3 linked regions of the Tamandua tetradactyla genome follow. Each later gene encodes a partner of the first gene's protein in a complex. Links are inferred from orthologs where the notes say so. Each region holds a gene or a part of one and is shown in the gene's direction. Other genes may lie near its edges.

What was found.
Region 2: ALYREF (region 1) and THOC7 share a complex: the UniProt entries of both Homo sapiens proteins name them as parts of the transcription/export (TREX) complex. The link is inferred for Tamandua tetradactyla from reciprocal best matches to the Homo sapiens genes ALYREF and THOC7.
Region 3: ALYREF (region 1) and MAGOH share a complex: the UniProt entries of both Homo sapiens proteins name them as parts of the ALYREF/THOC4-EJC-RNA complex. The link is inferred for Tamandua tetradactyla from reciprocal best matches to the Homo sapiens genes ALYREF and MAGOH.

Annotation. Positions count from the first base shown.
Region 1 is NC_135332.1:74,073,898-74,079,872, reverse strand, and holds ALYREF (THO complex subunit 4), read left to right. Parts: upstream 1-1,699; 5' UTR 1,700-1,798; coding exon 1,799-2,035; intron 2,036-2,533; coding exon 2,534-2,665; intron 2,666-4,088; coding exon 4,089-4,236; intron 4,237-4,730; coding exon 4,731-4,794; intron 4,795-4,899; coding exon 4,900-5,077; intron 5,078-5,174; coding exon 5,175-5,189; 3' UTR 5,190-5,496; downstream 5,497-5,975. Other genes in the region: ANAPC11 (anaphase-promoting complex subunit 11), read right to left, coding at 637-745. UniProt on the Homo sapiens protein: Functions as an mRNA export adapter; component of the transcription/export (TREX) complex which is thought to couple mRNA transcription, processing and nuclear export, and specifically associates with spliced mRNA and not with unspliced pre-mRNA.
Region 2 is NC_135341.1:20,809,255-20,815,229, forward strand, and holds the start of THOC7 (THO complex subunit 7), read left to right. Parts: upstream 1-2,917; 5' UTR 2,918-3,061; coding exon 3,062-3,080; intron 3,081-3,108; exon of another isoform or gene 3,109-3,255; intron 3,256-5,858; exon of another isoform or gene 5,859-5,975. UniProt on the Homo sapiens protein: Component of the THO subcomplex of the TREX complex which is thought to couple mRNA transcription, processing and nuclear export, and which specifically associates with spliced mRNA and not with unspliced pre-mRNA.
Region 3 is NC_135328.1:168,392,388-168,398,362, forward strand, and holds the start of MAGOH (protein mago nashi homolog), read left to right. Parts: upstream 1-2,356; 5' UTR 2,357-2,455; coding exon 2,456-2,543; intron 2,544-2,560; exon of another isoform or gene 2,561-2,916; intron 2,917-4,820; coding exon 4,821-4,879; intron 4,880-5,975. UniProt on the Homo sapiens protein: Required for pre-mRNA splicing as component of the spliceosome. Plays a redundant role with MAGOHB as core component of the exon junction complex (EJC) and in the nonsense-mediated decay (NMD) pathway.

The DNA of each region.
Region 1 (5,975 bases):
TCCAATAAAGTAGATTCTGCAAGCAACATGCCCTGTTTTTAAGTTTAAATGAATTGAAGAATGGTGTGGGGTTGAGAAAGGATTGCTCTACATTTATACTTGAAAATACTTCAGCAAAGATGTTAAAAGACACTTCATCTTATGAGTGATTTTTCTATAAACTTACAACTTCTCTAATAAAAAAAGCCAACAAACCACATACCTACAAATGGCAAGTTTTATAATATAAGTTAAAACTCAATAAATCTGACTTTAAAATAGAAATAAAGGCTATTCATTGTTAATTCCCTGGCGTGGGTGGGAGGGGGAGGGGATAAGGGGGTGTTCCTTATGCTATTTTACCTTTTTTGCTAGTTTGTTTGAAATTTTCAAACTAAAAAGTCTTAGATCTGTTTTTGTCTTGTGTGTCTCATTGCTGAGTTTGATTACAATAAAATGCTGCACTGGCTTTTCTTATAAAACTTTTTTGCCTCGATCTTTATAAAAACATGGGCCCAAACTGCTTGCCTTTTTTTCCTGTCACCTTTTCTTCAGGAAAACAAAATTAAAACCCAGGGATTTTACCCAGGTACTTTCAGGAAACGACAATGTCAGGCAAGTAGGCTCAAACAGCACTGCCAAGAGGGAGGCACTCACAGTCGGGACAGCAGCCGTTGAAGGCCATCCGGCAGATGCCGCAGTTCTCGTCATTGGCCACCCAGAGCCAAGTGGCCACGCCGTTCCAGCACTTGATCTTCACCTTCATGGCTGTGATGGGAAGAGGGTTACCTTGGTGAATCCGGTCTACAGAGCTAGAACACTAAGGCTCCCAGGGCGTGCTTCTCCCAGCCAAGAGGGCCCGCGCTGCAGGGGAGCAGCCACCGGCCAAGGCCAAGGGGAGCGGAGTGCCTGGCTTTGCACCCGGGGTTTCTTAAAGGTTCCTTTAGCCGTGTCTTTAGGGGCCCAGAGGGAAAGAAAGCCCTGAAAAGGGGCCTCAGCTCGCGCTGGCAAGGAGGGCATCAGACTTGGGACCACGGCTTTGGAGAGTTTGGCTTTGCCTCGCGTTTACGGTAACTACGGAGACCTGGACATTCACGAAAGGGCTGCTGCTTTCCTTAACGCCCTGTAAACAGGTCACACGACACTTCCAAAAAGGACACAACTAACAAACAAATGACCGTGGCTAACTTGGGGGATGGAGCCCCAAACCGCGCACGCTGTGAGATTTTTAACTCTCGAAAAGGCACAAACAGACGCATGAGTCTGTACCCCCGACCCCCATACCTGCCCGGGGCAACCGCTAGGCCCTGAAAGACGAATCGCTGGAGACGGTCGGCCGGGCGGTCCCGTGAGAAACGGCGGGGAAACAAGCCGCGGTGCCCGCCGGGCATCCGGCTCAGGACGCGACCGAGAGCGCGGAGAGCTCGGGGGCGTCCCAGGGGCCCCGCCCCCAGCCCGAGGGACGGGCACGTCAGGCCCCGCCCCCAACGGCCCCCGCCCAACCCAGGACGCCCTCGCCCCTTCCCTAACCTAATCCTACGCAACGCGGCCCCGCCCGTCGGCCGTTGTGGCGCCAGCGTCCGCGCGGGAAGGTATAAAAACGACAGCAGCCGCAGCCCAGCACCAGTCGGGCTGAGGTCGCCGAGCTGTGCGCCTCGCTGCGCACGCGCCTCCCCGCCTCGCGCGACTAGCCGCTCGCCGTCAGCCAATCGACAGCGGCTCCGGGGCCGCGACTCCGGAAGTCCCCGCGCGGCGAAGGAAGTGACGCCCCGGCGTGCTGACGCGCGCGCTCGAACCGAGGCCCGATTCCGCGCCCGCCATGGCCGACAAAATGGATATGTCTCTGGACGACATCATTAAGCTGAACCGGAGCCAGCGAGGCGGCCGCGGCGGGGGCCGGGGCCGCGGTCGGGCCGGCTCCCAGGGCGGCCGCGGCGGCGGAGCGCAGGCCGCCGCGCGCGTGAATCGAGGCGGCGGGTCCATCCGGAACCGGCCGGCCATCGCCCGCGGCGCAGCTGGCGGCGGCGGCAGGAACCGGCCGGCGCCCTACAGCAGGGTGAGTGGACGCGAAGGCCACTGGGGTTGCGGGGCGCGGAGTGCGCTGAGGCCCGGCCCGGCAGGCCGCGGGAGCGCCGAGTGGAGAGGGCTGGCCCCGAGGCCTGGCAGCTGGTCCCGAAGCCGGCGGGTGTGGTAGACGCCGGGGAGGTCGCGCGGCCTGGGGTTGGCCCCGGGAGGCTCAGACCTTCTCAGCCTCTTTGTCTCATCCGGGCGCTGCAACCTCATGGCGGCTGGGAGCGGAGGGAACGCTGGGCGCGGCCGCACCGGCGGCGGGAAGTTAGTTGAAGGGAACCTGAGAAGTTGCGCGGAAGCGGCGGGACCGTCGGGGTCTCGGGCCGGGGCAGGGAGGGAAGGGCCAGAGGCCCCTTCTCGGCGATTTCTCCCAGGGCCCGGTTGAGGAAGGGAGCAGGATCTTGGGATGAGCCCTGAGGGCAAGGAAAAGCCCTAGAGTGAGACTCACCGGTCTTTTTCTGTTCTATGGGGTTTTCTCTTTCAGCCAAAACAGCTTCCCGATAAGTGGCAACACGATCTGTTCGACAGCGGCTTTGGAGGAGGTGCCGGCGTGGAGACCGGTGGGAAACTGCTGGTGTCAAATCTGGATTTTGGAGTATCAGACGCTGATATTCAGGTAAGAAACGGAAGCGTCTCCGTGAGTAGTTCACCTTGCACAGAACTAATCGTGTTTGTCATGGGCCCTGAATCCTGTTCCCGCCTTAGGAAAGGAAGCCCTCCCAGCTGCCCCAGAAATAGCCACTGCTTCCGTGTAAGGGGCTGCAGGAGAGACCCTGCCCAGCAGTGGTCAGGAAAAGTTGAAAGTTGAATAAGTGAATCAGTGTTTGTTAGAAGATAAGACCTTAGTGTATTAGTTTTTGCAAAAACGTGTTTTTGGTGTCTGAAAATCCCCTGCAGAGCTTTCTACTTCTGGCTGCTTGCTTTCCTTGTTTTGTTGCTGTTTTAATGATCTATTGGGAGAAGAATCCACACACACACACACACACACACACACACGTTTTAACTAACAAAGTACAGAAGTAGGGTCTTAGTGGTTTTTCAGCTCTGTTGGCCTTGAGGCTTTCTATCAAGTATGACTTGTGGCCCAGTGGTACCACCCCCACCCCGTCCCCTGCCGCTCCCCCCAGGTTTTGTCAGTGGTTTGGTTCTAAGCTCATCTTTGGTTGAAGACTGGTTTTTGTTTTTGTTTTTTGTTTTTTATTGAACCTAAAGGAATTTAAACTTGTTTTTCTGGTAAAGAAACAGTTTCTTGGGGATCAGTCTTGGAGATGGCTGGGTCAGGGTGCTGGGCCTTCCTGGGTTGCATCTCCCAGAGCATGGCCATTGGGCTTTGCCGTGGGAGGACGGAGCAAGGCCGGTGAGCACTCACAGTGTCTCAACACTTTTTTTAAGGTGGTTTCTGGCAGCCACTGGAAACCGCTTTTGGTGACTCCACTTCCCGCTGTGTGCCTGCGGCCGGAGTAGCCCCACACTCTGGGTTCCCTCTCCAACTCCCAGCCTGCCTGAGGTCAGGGCAGTTTCCATGGCAGCGCTTGACTTCAGACTTTGCGGCAGGCTTGAGTAGGAGGAGAGGGAAAGGTGAGCCAGAATCTGCCTTCGGGGGAGGGACTGGGGTTAGGGCTCCCAAATCAAGGGGCCCTTCAAGCTGTCCTGGAATGTTGGGCAGCTTCCCTTGCTGTGTGATCTAGGCCTTCGCTGTTTCTTGGAACAGTTCTTGGGAGAGTTGTAAATTTTCTTTTGTCAAAAAGGAGAGCGGCTTAATTTTGTGCCCTTCACTTGTGGGTTCCTGCAACTTCCTTTCCCTGCATCGAGTTATAGATTTCAAGTCCCTCAGTTGGCAGGAGCCCTCAGACCCAGGTGCTTTGGAAGTTGCTGTCCTACCCACCCCATCCCTTCCCCCAGTTCCCACTGCCCTGCCCCTGTGTACATGGCTGCCTCCCAGGGAAACACCCCCAAAGCAGATTTCACTTCCAGGGACCATCCCTGGGACACTAAAGGGAAACAGCTCTGCTTACGAGTCTGCTCTTTCCAATTCCCAGGAACTCTTTGCTGAATTTGGAACTCTGAAAAAGGCTGCTGTGCACTACGACCGATCTGGCCGGAGTTTAGGAACAGCAGATGTGCACTTTGAACGGAAGGCTGACGCTCTGAAGGCTATGAAACAATACAACGGTGTCCCTTTAGATGGTGAGTTTGGGTTTGGACCAGTATGGCTGCAGGGTTGTACACGAAGGGTAGAGTTTGGGGGTGGCACTTGTCCACGCAGGGATATGGCTGAGCTCTGTGGCCAGGGACGCTTTGCATTTGCCCCTTTGTCTCTTCCATTCTACTGCCTTGCATGCTGTCCCTTACATCTGGACATCCGGAAGTTCTGGGAAGCCTTCTCAGAACTGCCATAGTAAACTTCTGAATGCAGGTTGTAGTCTAGAGACAGAGGTACCATTTTCCTCGTCAGAACCCTCTTCCTCCCACCTAGACTGGGCTGAGAGCAAAGAGGAGGCCTTGGGGGGGTTGTTTTTATTGCCTTTTTGTTCCCCTACCAGTATTTCCAGGTCATTCCCTTGTTGGAAGTGTTTGACACAGCACAAGAACCCTTTGCAGTGCTTGCATGAAGACCAGGTAGGGCACCCTCAGATTAGGCATGACCTCTATCTGGCAACTGTGCTCTTTGTTTGCTGTAGGCCGCCCCATGAACATTCAACTCGTCACATCACAGATTGACACGCAGCGGAGACCTGCACAGAGGTGAGTTCTGGGGCCCATGGAGCAGTGGGGGTAGGCCTATGGCATATGGTGGTGTCCATCCTTGGGGCCTGACCGAGTGTGAGCAACTCCTCTGTTCCTCGTCAGTGTAAACAGAGGCGGAATGACGCGAAGCCGTGGCTCTGGAGGTTTCGGAGGTGTCGGTGGCCCTCGGAGAGGCACCCGCGGAGGCAGCCGGGGAAGAGGCAGAGGAGCTGGCAGGAGTTCAAAACAGCAGCTTTCTGCGGAGGAGTTGGATGCCCAGTTGGATGCTTATAATGCCCGAGTAAGTCCAGGGGTGTGTGTACAGGGAGGGAGCAGCCCAAGCGAGGCTGGGAAATGGGGACTGCTTCCCAGTGACAACCTCTCCTGTTCTGTTTCAGATGGACACCAGCTGAGCAGACCCCAAGTCCGTGCGTGGAGCAGGCCCCGACGGCTCATCCGCATGCCCCGGAGTGGGGGGCGGAGGGCTGTGTGCAGCCATGGATTTGTTTCTTTTATGTTTTAAAGTAGGATTTAAAGCTCATGTAAAGGTTGTTGTTTTTTGTTTGTTTTTTTTTCCTTTTCTTTTTTTTTTAAATTCTGAAACAGACCTGTTTTGTACTGAGTTATTTTTGGGATAAATTTTACTGGTTGCTGTTGTGGAGAAGGTGGCGTTTTCACCTTTGCCATAATAATAAAATGGAAATGTGTGTAGAGCTGGAATGGTTTTGTTGTGCCGTTGTTGGGTGCTCCCCTGGGCCAGAGGCCCGGGGTCTGCCCGGGTGGGGTGGGGTGGAGCTGGGTGGGGAGAGGCAATCCTATCTGACATTTTGGCACCTTGGCCTGGGGGTTAGAGTTTGTGCTCCAGGAGAATTTTATCTTGACACTCTCCTGTTTCTGCTCCTGCTGTTCTTAAGTCCTCTCTAACTCAGTGGGTGGGAGGACCCAGAGCAGTAGCAGTCCTTTACCTGGAGTTACCTGTCATTGCACCTGCACCTAGAGGTGAGGGCATGGGACAGGGGGCAGAGCACCTGTGTTTTCCACAGATTTCAGGGCACTAGGGTGGACCTTTCTTTTTCCTTGTGTTTGTGTCCTCAAACCTGAATTCACCATCCTAACCTCATAATGTCCGATTGTGTTCCCTGCTGTTTTCTGCATTGCTGCGGTGCAAGGTATAAGGGTGTTCCTTCTCTTAATCGTGT
Region 2 (5,975 bases), on another chromosome or scaffold:
AGAAGAAAAAACCCGAAAAATCGTGGAACTGTAACCCATACCAAACTTTAAAATCTGTTCTATAATTACTTGTTAAAATGTACTTGGAAATTTATTGCTTTTTTGTATATATATTTCACAATTAAAAATTTAACATGACAGGGAAAAAAAGGCAAATACTGGGCACAAAGATCTACTTTTTTTTACTTCTTTTCTTCAAAGAATGATTGTTTTAACTCCCATTTCATTTAATAAAAAGACATTTCAAACTTTTTTGGGCCTTGGACCTCCTGTAGACCCATTCTCCAGAAAAATATATATACACAAAAAGTTTTTATCCCAATTACAGGGAATTCAGGAATCCCCTGAAGCCTATTCACGAACCCCTGGGGATCCATAGATCCCAGGATAACCCTTACTCTAAAGGCACGTTACAAAAACATCTATATTGTTTTACAGGTCCAGGGTAAAGACCACATAGGTAGCTCTCTCGTCATTCTTTGTACTTTCTGACGGCAAATATTAAACCAGCACTCAAATTAACTTCCTGACTACTTTCTCACACTCTCAAAGAAACCAAGAATCTAGTGATATAAGTAGATCATGAAATCTACGGTGATACAAGTTCGAAGCGCAAATCAGTTTTGTTAATAAATTAAAATCTACTTCCATTTCGTTATCTCTGCCCAGAGAAGCCTCCCTAGAAAAGATACATTAGTATGGGATAGATCTTGAGTCCTTCCTACCTCAACATTGAGTTATGTAAAGTCGGTTAATTCATAACCGATAATATGAAAAGGCCACTTCTAAAATTTCCTAGTTGTTCCCTCACTATATATGATGTGAAGGAAGGGCAATTACAAAAGGTCTTAAATGGTCAAAACAAAGCTCTGTGTCCATACATCTATGAGTTAAGTTATGTGGCTGACAAAACAGGTAGTTAAAAATTCATAACAGTTCAAATTATGATGTGCTTCCCACTACGTGAGTCAAGAACTTTCAAGAATATTTATTTTCAGAAATACCTCAAACTTCAGTCTCTCCAATTAATCTCGTTACTTTAGAAAATTACTAACACTATTCAACAAAATTATAAGCCACAAAATGAACTTATAAATGTTTGACCAGGACTCCATCTACAAATGACTGGTTCACGAAATATTAACAGTTACAGGAAACAAGTGATATGTTCCTATAAAAACATTAAAGATTATTTTAAATCTCTAGATAATGTTTCAAAATCAGTATTATGATCAGATCAAGTAACAAGTCACTTAAAATTTAACACATTATAACACCATTTGACAATTACCTTTTCAACAATAACCATCATTAAAATGCCACTCAGGACAGACAGATAGTCAACTGACACTTCCAATTTACAGTCTGTAGTACTTAAGATTTCAAACAAGCTATTCTGTGGGTTAGCATGTCCTCTCTCCTAAAATCAAAGAACTGAACAGACTTACGCCAATTATTATTTAAAGCCAGAGGTTTCACATCCTAACGGTCAAGTTAAAACCTCAGAATCTTCACTCAATGTAATTCTTGCCTTTGTGCCAAAAGTTGAAGGCCCTAACTCTTGAGAGCATTATAAATGGCATTACTGAAGTTTCTGGCCTGAAATACATGAAAAAAATGTTACATATACTGATTTCTACCTAGAGGTAAAAGGCACTTCACTGCCATACATTTGCATTTAACGATTCTTCCTTTTCGAAAAAACTGAGGGGAAATGAAGAGTATGAATCCAACTTTAGTAAGGAAAGGAAACAGCAAAATTTATCCTGCGCCAACTGCTTCATCCTCAGATAAAGAGACAGGGAGCTTGGGAGGTAAGAATATTGGAAAATAATGATATGGCTTATTTAACATGTCAAACCTGGGTTCAAAACTCAGACATGCTTCTTGTGGTTAACTGTTCTCTATTCCACTGGAGGTCAAGAATCCGCTTTATCGGTGCCTGTTCCCTGACCGGCCTCTCTCACCAAGTAAATGTTGGAATTTACCGCAAACTCATTCAAGTTGAATCAAAGTGACTCTGGGAAGAGATGTCAGTATAATTTGCCGTGTACTCCGGAAATGTCTAACTCTACACACAAGGCAATATTTCTCATTGACACTCCCCCTACCCCTACACTTAAAACTTCCCCCTTAAGACGAGGACAGCCAGCGAGACAATTTTTTGAAAATTAAAGAAAATATAAATAAATAAATACATGCACCCTATCCAGATCACCGACGAGATTCTGGCTCTGTTGCGGAACTGCGTGCGGGTGCGGGATGGCAACCACGCAACGATCCTAGTCAGTCGGCAGAACTCCTCCGGAGGACAAGTTTCTCCGTCCTTTTTCCCAGCACCGGCCCGAGCCCAGGGAGGAAAGGGGTTGCAGCAGGGACCCGACCGCCCTACCTGGAACCCTGGGCCTTTCGTGATCTCCAGCCGCGCCCGGTGCAATCCCTACGCTTGAGACCCGCCCGGGCGTGCGTGGGCGCCAACTTCGGCGAGACCCTCGCGCCGCGCCCCCCTCGGTGCCTCGCCCAGCTCCAGCGCTCCCCGTCCCGCCGCCCTCCCCACCTCACCCCAGGAAGCGAGCGCACCCCCCGCAACAGCCTGGACGGGGTGGGGGAAGCAGGGTCCACTTCTCCCAGAATGCTAGAGGGGCCGCACCCCGACCCCAGTAGTCCCGGCGCGCCCCCGCAGCCCGGGCGGCGCCCGGACTGGCTCACCTGGCGGCTGGCTGCGGCCTCCGGAGCGGCCTCTGGGCGTGGGCCGGGAGGGGGCAGAGAGGGGGGCGGCGGGGGCTGGGACTCCAGCCGGGGCCGCCGCCGCCCGCCTGGCCTAGCCCGCACACGCGCCGGCCGCGGCAGCTCCCGGGGGGTACCGGGAGCGCGGGGAGCGCGGGTCCCGCGGCGGCGGCGGCGCGGCTCAGGCGTCGGAGCTGGCGGCCGCAGGCGCCGCCGCCTCCTCCTCCATGGCTGTTTACCCGGCTGCATTGTGGGAGTTTGACCTCCGCCGCCGCCAACCGCCGCCTCAGCTTGCGCCGCCGCCGCCGCCGCCGCCGCCGCCGCCGCGCACGCCATGGGAGCCGTGACTGACGGTGAGGCCGGTTCGCCACCACCTGGGCCCACTCCCCGGAGTCCTTCGGTCTCCGTGGCCGCTTCCGGGAGTTCTTCGGCCTCCCGGGTCGGACCCCTCGGAGACCCTGGCCTCCAGGCCTCTCCCCGGAGCCTCTCGGCCTGATCTCCCCGGAGGCGGCGCCGGGCGTGAAGAGGGTGTGCTGGGAAGGTCGTCGGGGGATAAGAGTACACATGGGGGCCGAGGAGGCTGGGAGCTGTGTGTGGGCTGGTGGTACCGGGTGGGGTCCGGGTTGAAGAAGGATGTGGTAAGGGAGCATTGACGGGGTAAGGTAGGTTCACGGAGCGCCGAAGTGGAGGGTGGAGGGAGTTGGTGAAAGGCTTGATACCACGGGTCCCGGAAGGCCTGTGGGGGGAATGGGAGGATGTGGGAGCTCCAGGGATAGGGCGGGGGCTTCTGGGCAACCTGGGAAAGAGGGGTGGGTTCCAGGTCATGGGTATTAGGGACGTCTGGATACAGAGGGTGACACGTGGAGGAAGGAGTTTTCTGGGCAGATCGGAACGGCCCCCAGACAATGGATCGCAATGAGATCTGGGAACTGCATGTGAATTTGGGGTGGAGAGGGGGAGATGGGAACATCAGCTAAAAGGGATATGTGAATGGAATATCTGGAGGGCAATCAGGGAATACTTGGGAGCTATGAGAGGCAAACAGCAGATATACAGATGAGGGCACCTACGGTAGATCAGGATAGTAAAGGATGTATGTGTGTCTTGGAGAGGGGAGGTTTGCCAGCTGAATGGATGTGGTGGGGGAGGCAGAGGCTGGGTTCGTGGACAGTTGTGAGGGCAATTTAGGAAAGTGGATCAATTTAAGACGGATCCGGGGGCCATCTACACAGGGAGAGCAGAAATAAGGTAGCACCTTGGGAAAGAGTTGAAACAGGTATGGTGGGCAACTGGGTGGAGCACTCTGGAAGGTATCTGGTTATGGTAGTCCTTTGACATGTGGGATGGGAAATCAGGGGGCCTTTTTAAGGGGACTTAGAAAGGCCCCTTCTGAAAAGTTGGGTACAGTTTAAGGGGCTAGCAATAGAAAGAAGAATGATGAACCCAAATTTGTAGACATTGTAGAGAGTGGTGGAAGTGGGGGGGGCTATGAAAGGTTCAGGAACTTCATGAGGGAGTTTCAACTTTGCTTCTTTTCACTTTCATTTATTCAGTAGATATTTATCCTGCTTGGGCTAGGCTTTAAGATTACAGCCAGAACCAAGAGGCAAGACCTTTTCCCCCTCTTAGAGGTTACATTCAAGTGGGAAAGACATGTGGAATGATTTTTTGGGGGGGAATGGGGGGAGCTGCATGGTCCAGGGATCAAACCTGGGTCTCCCACATGAGATGTGAGCATTCTAACCACTGAACTACCCATGCACCCAGACACATGGAATAATTTTTAAAGGTGGTAAATGTTACTACAGGAGAAGTACAAAATTCGGAAGTATAGAAGCATGTAACAAAAATTGCTTATCCATTCTGGAACATCAGAAAGTCCCTCTCAAAAAGTTATTCTTCATCCCACTGTTAAAGGATAAATACATGTAGTTGGGGGAAAGTGTTCCAGGTGGGGAACCACTTGTGCACAAGCCCCCAAAGTGTTGGAAGAACACCACAATTACTTGTAATGGCCAGAATTTAGAAGCCGTAAAAGTTTTTACACTGGAGTAGTGTGATCAGATTTGCATTTTGTAAAACAACACTCCACTATGAAGAATGGTGAAGGCAAGGGAAAGTGAGGAGCTAAATTAACTCTGTCCTCTCTAACATTTATATAGTATTCATTCCATGTGCCAAGCAGTGTTCTAATTATTTTTCCCACTTTACAAATGAAACTGGGACACAAAGAGGCTATAACTTGCCCAAGGTCACTGGTAGTAAGTTATAGAGCCAGGATTCAAAACTACATAGTCCAGCTCCTGAGTTCTTGCACTTCACTGTTATGTATCCTGTCTTGTAGCTACTGGCAAGAGGTCATGGGGACACAGGCCAAGATAGTCATCAAGGAAATGCAAAGAATTTACAGGTGGGACAGATATTTATGAGGTAGAAGTCAGGACTTAAGTGATCGGGTGGGTGTGAGGGGAGGAGTCAAGGATGACCCCAGTTTCTAGCTTGAGTAATTGTGTGCTTGTTAGTGTTACTTCTCTCTTGAGGTAGAGAACTGCAAAGGAGAGATAGGTTTCGTCAGACAGAAGGGGAGGGAAGATGAATTCTAGTAAACATGCTGAAGCTGTCAAGTACCCCCCACCTTCTTGGAGGCAACAGGAATCCCCCACTCTGCCACTTCCAGGTAGTCTGGCTGTGGGCACGTTAATTAACCTCTGAGCCTTAGTTTCATTTTCTGTGAATGGGGATAAAAAAAAATCTGTCTCTTAAAGTTGTTTGAGGATTAAATGCAGTAAAAACTGTAAACGGCTTTCCATGGAGTTTTATTGAACATTACTATTATTGAACAATAATAGTAATGTTCAATTAATGTTATTAAATATAAGAATTGGTTTATTTATCTCTCCTTCCACTTTCCTTTGATGAGAACTGTGCCTTCTCCGTCTCCTTGTCTGCACAGATTGCCCTCCCCTGCCTTTTCTGCCTGGTGAAATTCCATTTATTCTTCAAGACCCACCTCAGATATCCCCTCTTCTCTTTTCCAGAACCCGTTGGTTTCTTACCTACTAACTACATTACTTTATGAATATTACTATTATGAACTTCCATCCTTAATTTACTGACATGCCTTATTCCAGAAAATATTTAAAGTAGAGCACCATAATGAGGAAACATAAAAGCAACATAAATGGATGAGGAAGCAGCAAAAGGAACATTGAGACTAGGAAAAACAAGAGGAAGTCATAAGTGGAAGT
Region 3 (5,975 bases), on another chromosome or scaffold:
ATAAAGCTCAAGGGAAATTTAGCATGAAATGAGGCTGGATGGAAAAACAGGTTCAGTGTAAGCACTTTATAAAATACTATTTAGTTTCTGATTCAATTAAGCAAGGCTTTTTGATCCTTGATTGTGTATGAGGCACCAAGTGTATCAAGGACAATTCACCAGGATGTACTGCCAGCACTTTGCAGATGTGACAGTGTTCAGCCTCAAGCTTTCTAATGGCCAAAGGGAAATCTTGACTGCTTTTCATATATTTGAGTCAGTGTTTTGATGAGGTCAATGAGAACTAATATAAGGGCAGTGGGATTTTTACAGAAATATTCCATCTTATTAAAAGCCTCTGAGATTTTCTCAACCACGAAAAAAGAAAACTGGGAGTTTGAAGGCGTGGAGTCTGGAGAGGGGATGCCAGTCATTCTCCAGTCACAAGCTAGTGGGAATGGGGGAAGGGTACACTAAAGTGAACCTACCTCCTCTACCACCTAAATCCAGCCATACTCTCATGTCATAGAATGTAAATGAGTTAGTATAACAGTTGCAGGTTAAATAATTTCCTTTCTCATCAATGCATGAAGGTAGAATATCAGAGTCTTCTCACTGTATTTTTTAGGGTATATGGGATTTTCAGGGTATGGCGAATTTAGAAAGTGGAAGAATTAAAAGCTTCAATTTTTCAGTTACTATAAGAAATCAGGAAGCTTTGTTCATTCAGGCTATGCACCATGTGCACAGTCAAGAATCAGCAGAAACCCTCTGCATTTGCAAACACTTTGTGCTATAAAAAGTAATAAAGAAAAAAGCCACCTGTATATATATTTAAAGATGTGAAGGTTTTGATACTTTTTTACAAAAACTACAAGAGAAAGCATACCTGTACAAACCGTCTACTTTAACATAGTGTTTTGTTCTATACAAGCTGCTGTTATTTTGAGGGTGAAGTACTGGTTTGCAAACTCCATCACATTGTGCCCAATGGATTTTCCTTGTTTGTCTTTATCTTCCCCACCCAAATTACTGTCTTTGATGTGACAGGCATGTTAGAATGTTGGGTTGCCCTAACCATTTCTGCTCTTTTCACTTTGTCATTCCAAGTTTGGTTACCTTCTGTGCTCAGTGCAGTCTGGTTTCTCTTCCAGAGGCAAAGGGACTGAGGGTGGTGTGCTGCATTTCACTAGCTGTACTGGAATTATCCTGATGAACTGAAAACCAAATGTGAACATTTGTAAAATCAGTGCCCTGTTTCTAGAAAGATTAAATTCATTTTTTTTAAAATCTGGAAGCATTGTTTCATTGTGATGTTTTAATGAGGGGGGAGTGGACTAACACTGAGCCCCTGTTGTGTAACACGTGTTTTACATTATCTCAGTCTTTGACAATCTGTGAGATAAATATTATCAATATTATTCGCCCCATTTTACAGATGAGACGATCCCAAAATGGTGAAATAACTGCACAAAGTTATTTTTAGTGCCCCCAAAGGACATTTGCAAATGTAGCATTCTCTAACGCTGTGGTCTTCAACCCTGACTCACCAATGCCCATATACATCCTTAGAGGATTTATTTCATTGGTTTGGGGTGGGGTCTGGGTATCAGTATGTTTTCTAGCTCCTCAATGACTCTAATGGGCGGCCAGGGCTGAGAATCACTGTTGGATAAGCAGTACACAGAGGACCGAGGAGTGGAAGATCAAAATATTCAATTTAACTTTTACTCACAGAACCTACTATAGAGACCAGGGGACAATTAAACATTCATAATAAGTTAGAAAAGCGTAAAATGAAGGATAACCAACTGTGGGGGGCGGGGGGGGGTTAGTTCCAGAGAGATGGCAATCTCCACTATGGATTCAGAGAAAGCGTTACAGAGAACGGTTTTCTTGAATTGATGTTTAAACAGCAAAGTTCAGTCGAGGCTGACTTTAGACACAAACATCATTCGCGGCGGTCCTCTCCCGGGTTCTGTGAGATGGGAGCATTTAACCCCATTTTACTGTTGAGAAGACCTATGTCCAGAGACAATGAAGAGCTTGCCTGACTCACACAAGGTCGGGGGTTAGGCCTGGAGGGGGGTGCAGGACTAGGAGGGATTCAGGCCGGAGAGCTCCTGGCGACGAGTCTTGGCCTCACAGCGAGATTCCAGACTCCCTCTGGAGAATTCGAACAAACCCAGAACTAAGGAAAACCACGGCAGGCGCTTCCGGGTTACGGGGGTGGGGACGGGAGGGAAGCCTTGACCCCGCCCCCGAACGGGAGGGGCGAGGCAGCCTTGTTTCCGCCTCTGGGAGAAAGGGACGCCGCAGCCTTGTTCTCGCGGGTACGGGCAGGGAGGGATCCCTTGCTCTCGCGACGGCGTTGTCGTGACGTCACTTCTCCGCGCCGCCGAACGTCAGTGTTGGTCGCGTACAGCCGCCGCGCTGTTTGCTATGTAAGTTCAGTCTCCGTGGCCTTTTATGAGCCATGGAGAGTGACTTTTATCTGCGTTACTATGTGGGTCACAAGGGCAAGTTCGGCCACGAGTTTCTGGAATTTGAGTTCCGACCTGACGGTAAGAGCGGCCTGGCGCAGTGGGGAGCGGGTACTAGGCCTGGGGCGGGGGAGTGAGGAGGCCTAAGAGTCGGAAATGTGCGGTGAATGAGAGGAGCGAGGGACTAAGACCTGTATAGCGCGGACCTGAAAGGAACGTTCCTGTGCCGATTCCACTGGTTCCATATCTTTCTATCCATATGCAAGGACTCCTGTTTAGAAACATGTTTGACCAGAGTGCTTTCATTTAACAAACACTGAATGCTCCCTTTGTGCCAGGCTTTTTTCCGCTCTCTGGGGATACAGCAGTGAAGAAGATGGACAAGCATACTCTCTCAGCATTTATATTCTAGTGCTAGAGACAGATCACAAACAAGCAAAAAAGAAGATTCCAGGTAGTGATGAGCGGTCAGAAAAAAATAAAGCAAAAAGACTAATTACTGGATGAGTTGCTTTAAGATAGGGTGGCCATTGGAGTGCTCTCTGAAGAAAGGATAATTTGAACTGAGGTCTGAGTGGCAAGAATGAATCAGTGCTGTGAAGCTCAGGAGCAAAGGCATTGTAGACAGGGAGTAGAAAGTGCCAAGGCTGTAGGAAATGAGCTAGGCATGTTTCAAGTGACCAGTGTCACTGAAGAATAGTAAGCTCCCAGGAAAATAGCATGAGGTGATGTGAGATAGCGGCCACATCACGTAAGCCATATTGGATTTTATTGTAAATGCGGCAGAAAACAGTTGGAAAGTTTTAAGCAGGGAAGTGATGTGATCTGTTCTGTTTTTGAAAAGAGTATTCATTGTTGGATGCAAAATGGGCAAAAGTGGAAACAGGGCTGCTTACTAGGAGACAGTTACAATTGTCAAGACGAAAGGTTATCAGTTGGGACCGGGGTGGTAGTAGAACTGGAGAGAAGCATTTAGGATACTGTTGGAAGCAGAACCAACTGAGACTTCGCTGAAAGAATTTGGGGAGTGGGCACTGAAGTGAAAGAAAGGTATCAAAGATACCAAAACTTCTACTAAATGGTAGAAGAAAGATGAACCTGCGAAGTCCTGATTTTGAGGGAGATAGAGTTGAAGATGGTGAGAAAGTACTGTTTTAGGTACTGTGATATAAAGATAGTGGAGACCTGGGAGCAGAGAGAGGGCACGTAAGCAAGTGCCCTGAAGGTCAGGAAAGGCATTGTAAATGAAGTGTAGCTTGAGGGGAGTGGAGTGAGTATTTAGGAATATGTAGGAGTTGGTTAGGCAGACAAGAATCAGTAAGGCATTTTGGACAGCATTATCAGTCAAGAGGTTGAAAATCAAAAAGGACATGTAATGTTTCAAATAGAACCCAAGCAGTTTGGTTGACTCCCCAGCTATGGGAGAGAGGAATATTGCAGGATTGAGGTTGGAAAAGTAGGTGGGCACACACATTGACAGTATGCCATGCTGAGGAGTTTGGATTTTATCAGGAAAGCTGTGGGGATCCATTGAAGTATCAGAGTAACCTATTCGTATAGGTCTGTTACTAGATCACTTGGGCTCCGAACTGAAAGAAAGAGACTCGAAGCAGAGAGACAGTACAGAGGCCATTAGAATAATTTGGCTTTTTTTAATATGTGCCCTCTATTAGGTAAAAAAATAATGTCTTCTATTTCCTTTTATCTTCTCTTTCATTCCCCACCATATACCCAGATCAGATTGTTGGATGTACATGTGGAGGCTCACCAAGGGCATGTAAACCAAATGTGCTCAGTTATAAAAGCGCAACTTTTATATTACAGGAATAGTTCAGTGTTGTACAGTCATCTGATAATGTATAAAAACAGCCTTTACATTTTTCAAAATGCTTTCACAACTCATTTGCGCCTCAGGAAGCCCTGAGTCAGATATTTTATCAATTATGTTCCTATTTTCACAGAGCTGTCCTTTACCCACGATCACAAAAGAGCCTGCCATGTTTTGTGTGGTTTTTTGTTTTGTTTTGGTGCATGGCCCAGGAATCGAACCCAGGTCCCCCACATGAAAGGCAGGCATTCTACCACTGAACCACCCCTGCTATGTTCTTTTCCCACACTTGAGCTGTCTTTTGCAAGAAATATAGTTCAATGTCAGCCATATTTTTGGCTGTGAGGATGTTTAATAGCCTAAAGTGAGGAACTGAAAAGACTAGCATTGTTGAAACACAAGGTGTAAATAGTAAATTTCTTAGACAATTTGAAGGGAAAGTTAGGGTACATTTTAAGCAACAAGTGATAATCTTGGTAGGCTATTTATTTTTAATTGTACATTGAATTTGTTTTTTTTGCCCCTCACAGGGAAATTGAGATATGCCAATAACAGCAATTACAAAAATGATGTCATGATCAGAAAAGAGGTATGAACCTTCATTCACTACAGTAGAGACTTTTCCTTGTGTTATTTTTGTTCTTTCTGGAAGTAATATTGAAAGATAAAGAACTGGGAAGTAGACACAACTGTAGGCAGCTTCTCAATTCCTTCTCAGATATTCCTTTAGTTTATGCTTTCATTCACAGTGTAGAATCAGTTACTGGTCATCATGGAGTCTGGCAGATCTTGGTTTGAACCCTGAACCTGTTTCTTACTAAACATGTGACCTTGGCAAGTTTCCTGGCTGAACTCAAGTCTCAGTTTCTTCATCTGCAAAAACAAGGTTAATAGAACTCATCCATCCCCAGCTCTGACAGAGAATTAAATACATTAAACTTAAAGTGCTTCATATATTTCTTGACACATATACTCAGTAGAGAGAGATACTGTTGAATTTGAATTTGAAATGACAGGGAACATGGTAAAGCAGCTAACATTCGTTGAATACATGTTAGATGCCAGGCATGGAGCTAGGTATTTTACATGAAGGAACTTATTTAACGCTGATTGTAAGTCCGTGTAATAGATGGTATATATCATCTTTAGAAAATGAAGGCACAGATCTTAACTAAAGGACTTGTTCAAAGACACCTCTGCTAGTAAAAAATAGAGGAATTCAAACATGCATACATTTCTCAAGTCCATATGCTCCATTCTTTCGTGATTTCTACTATGCCTTTAAGGCTTCCTCAAAGCCACACTTGCCTTTTAACCATTTTGTCATATTTAAAAGTGTCTTTACAGTTTATATATTTTCATAATATTATGTCTAATTAGCAATTGTTTTTATATTTATCCACACATGTCAGCATCCTCACATTTTTCTACATGGACTTATATCCAAAATGTACTTTAAAAGATATGTCTCTGCTCTTCAGAAGCATGTCATGTAGTTAAAAGTAACCAGGATGTGAGACATTCACAGACATTTAGTGATTACCCAGATCTTCTATTCTGGGTTCAGGTGTCAGTTGAGTATGTGGGCAGAAGACAGTCATTGTGACCAAGATGTGCCAAGAGGAGCTAAGAACTAGATGGAGGATTGAGGTGATCCTATCCCTCTTCTCCAAGATGCCGAGATC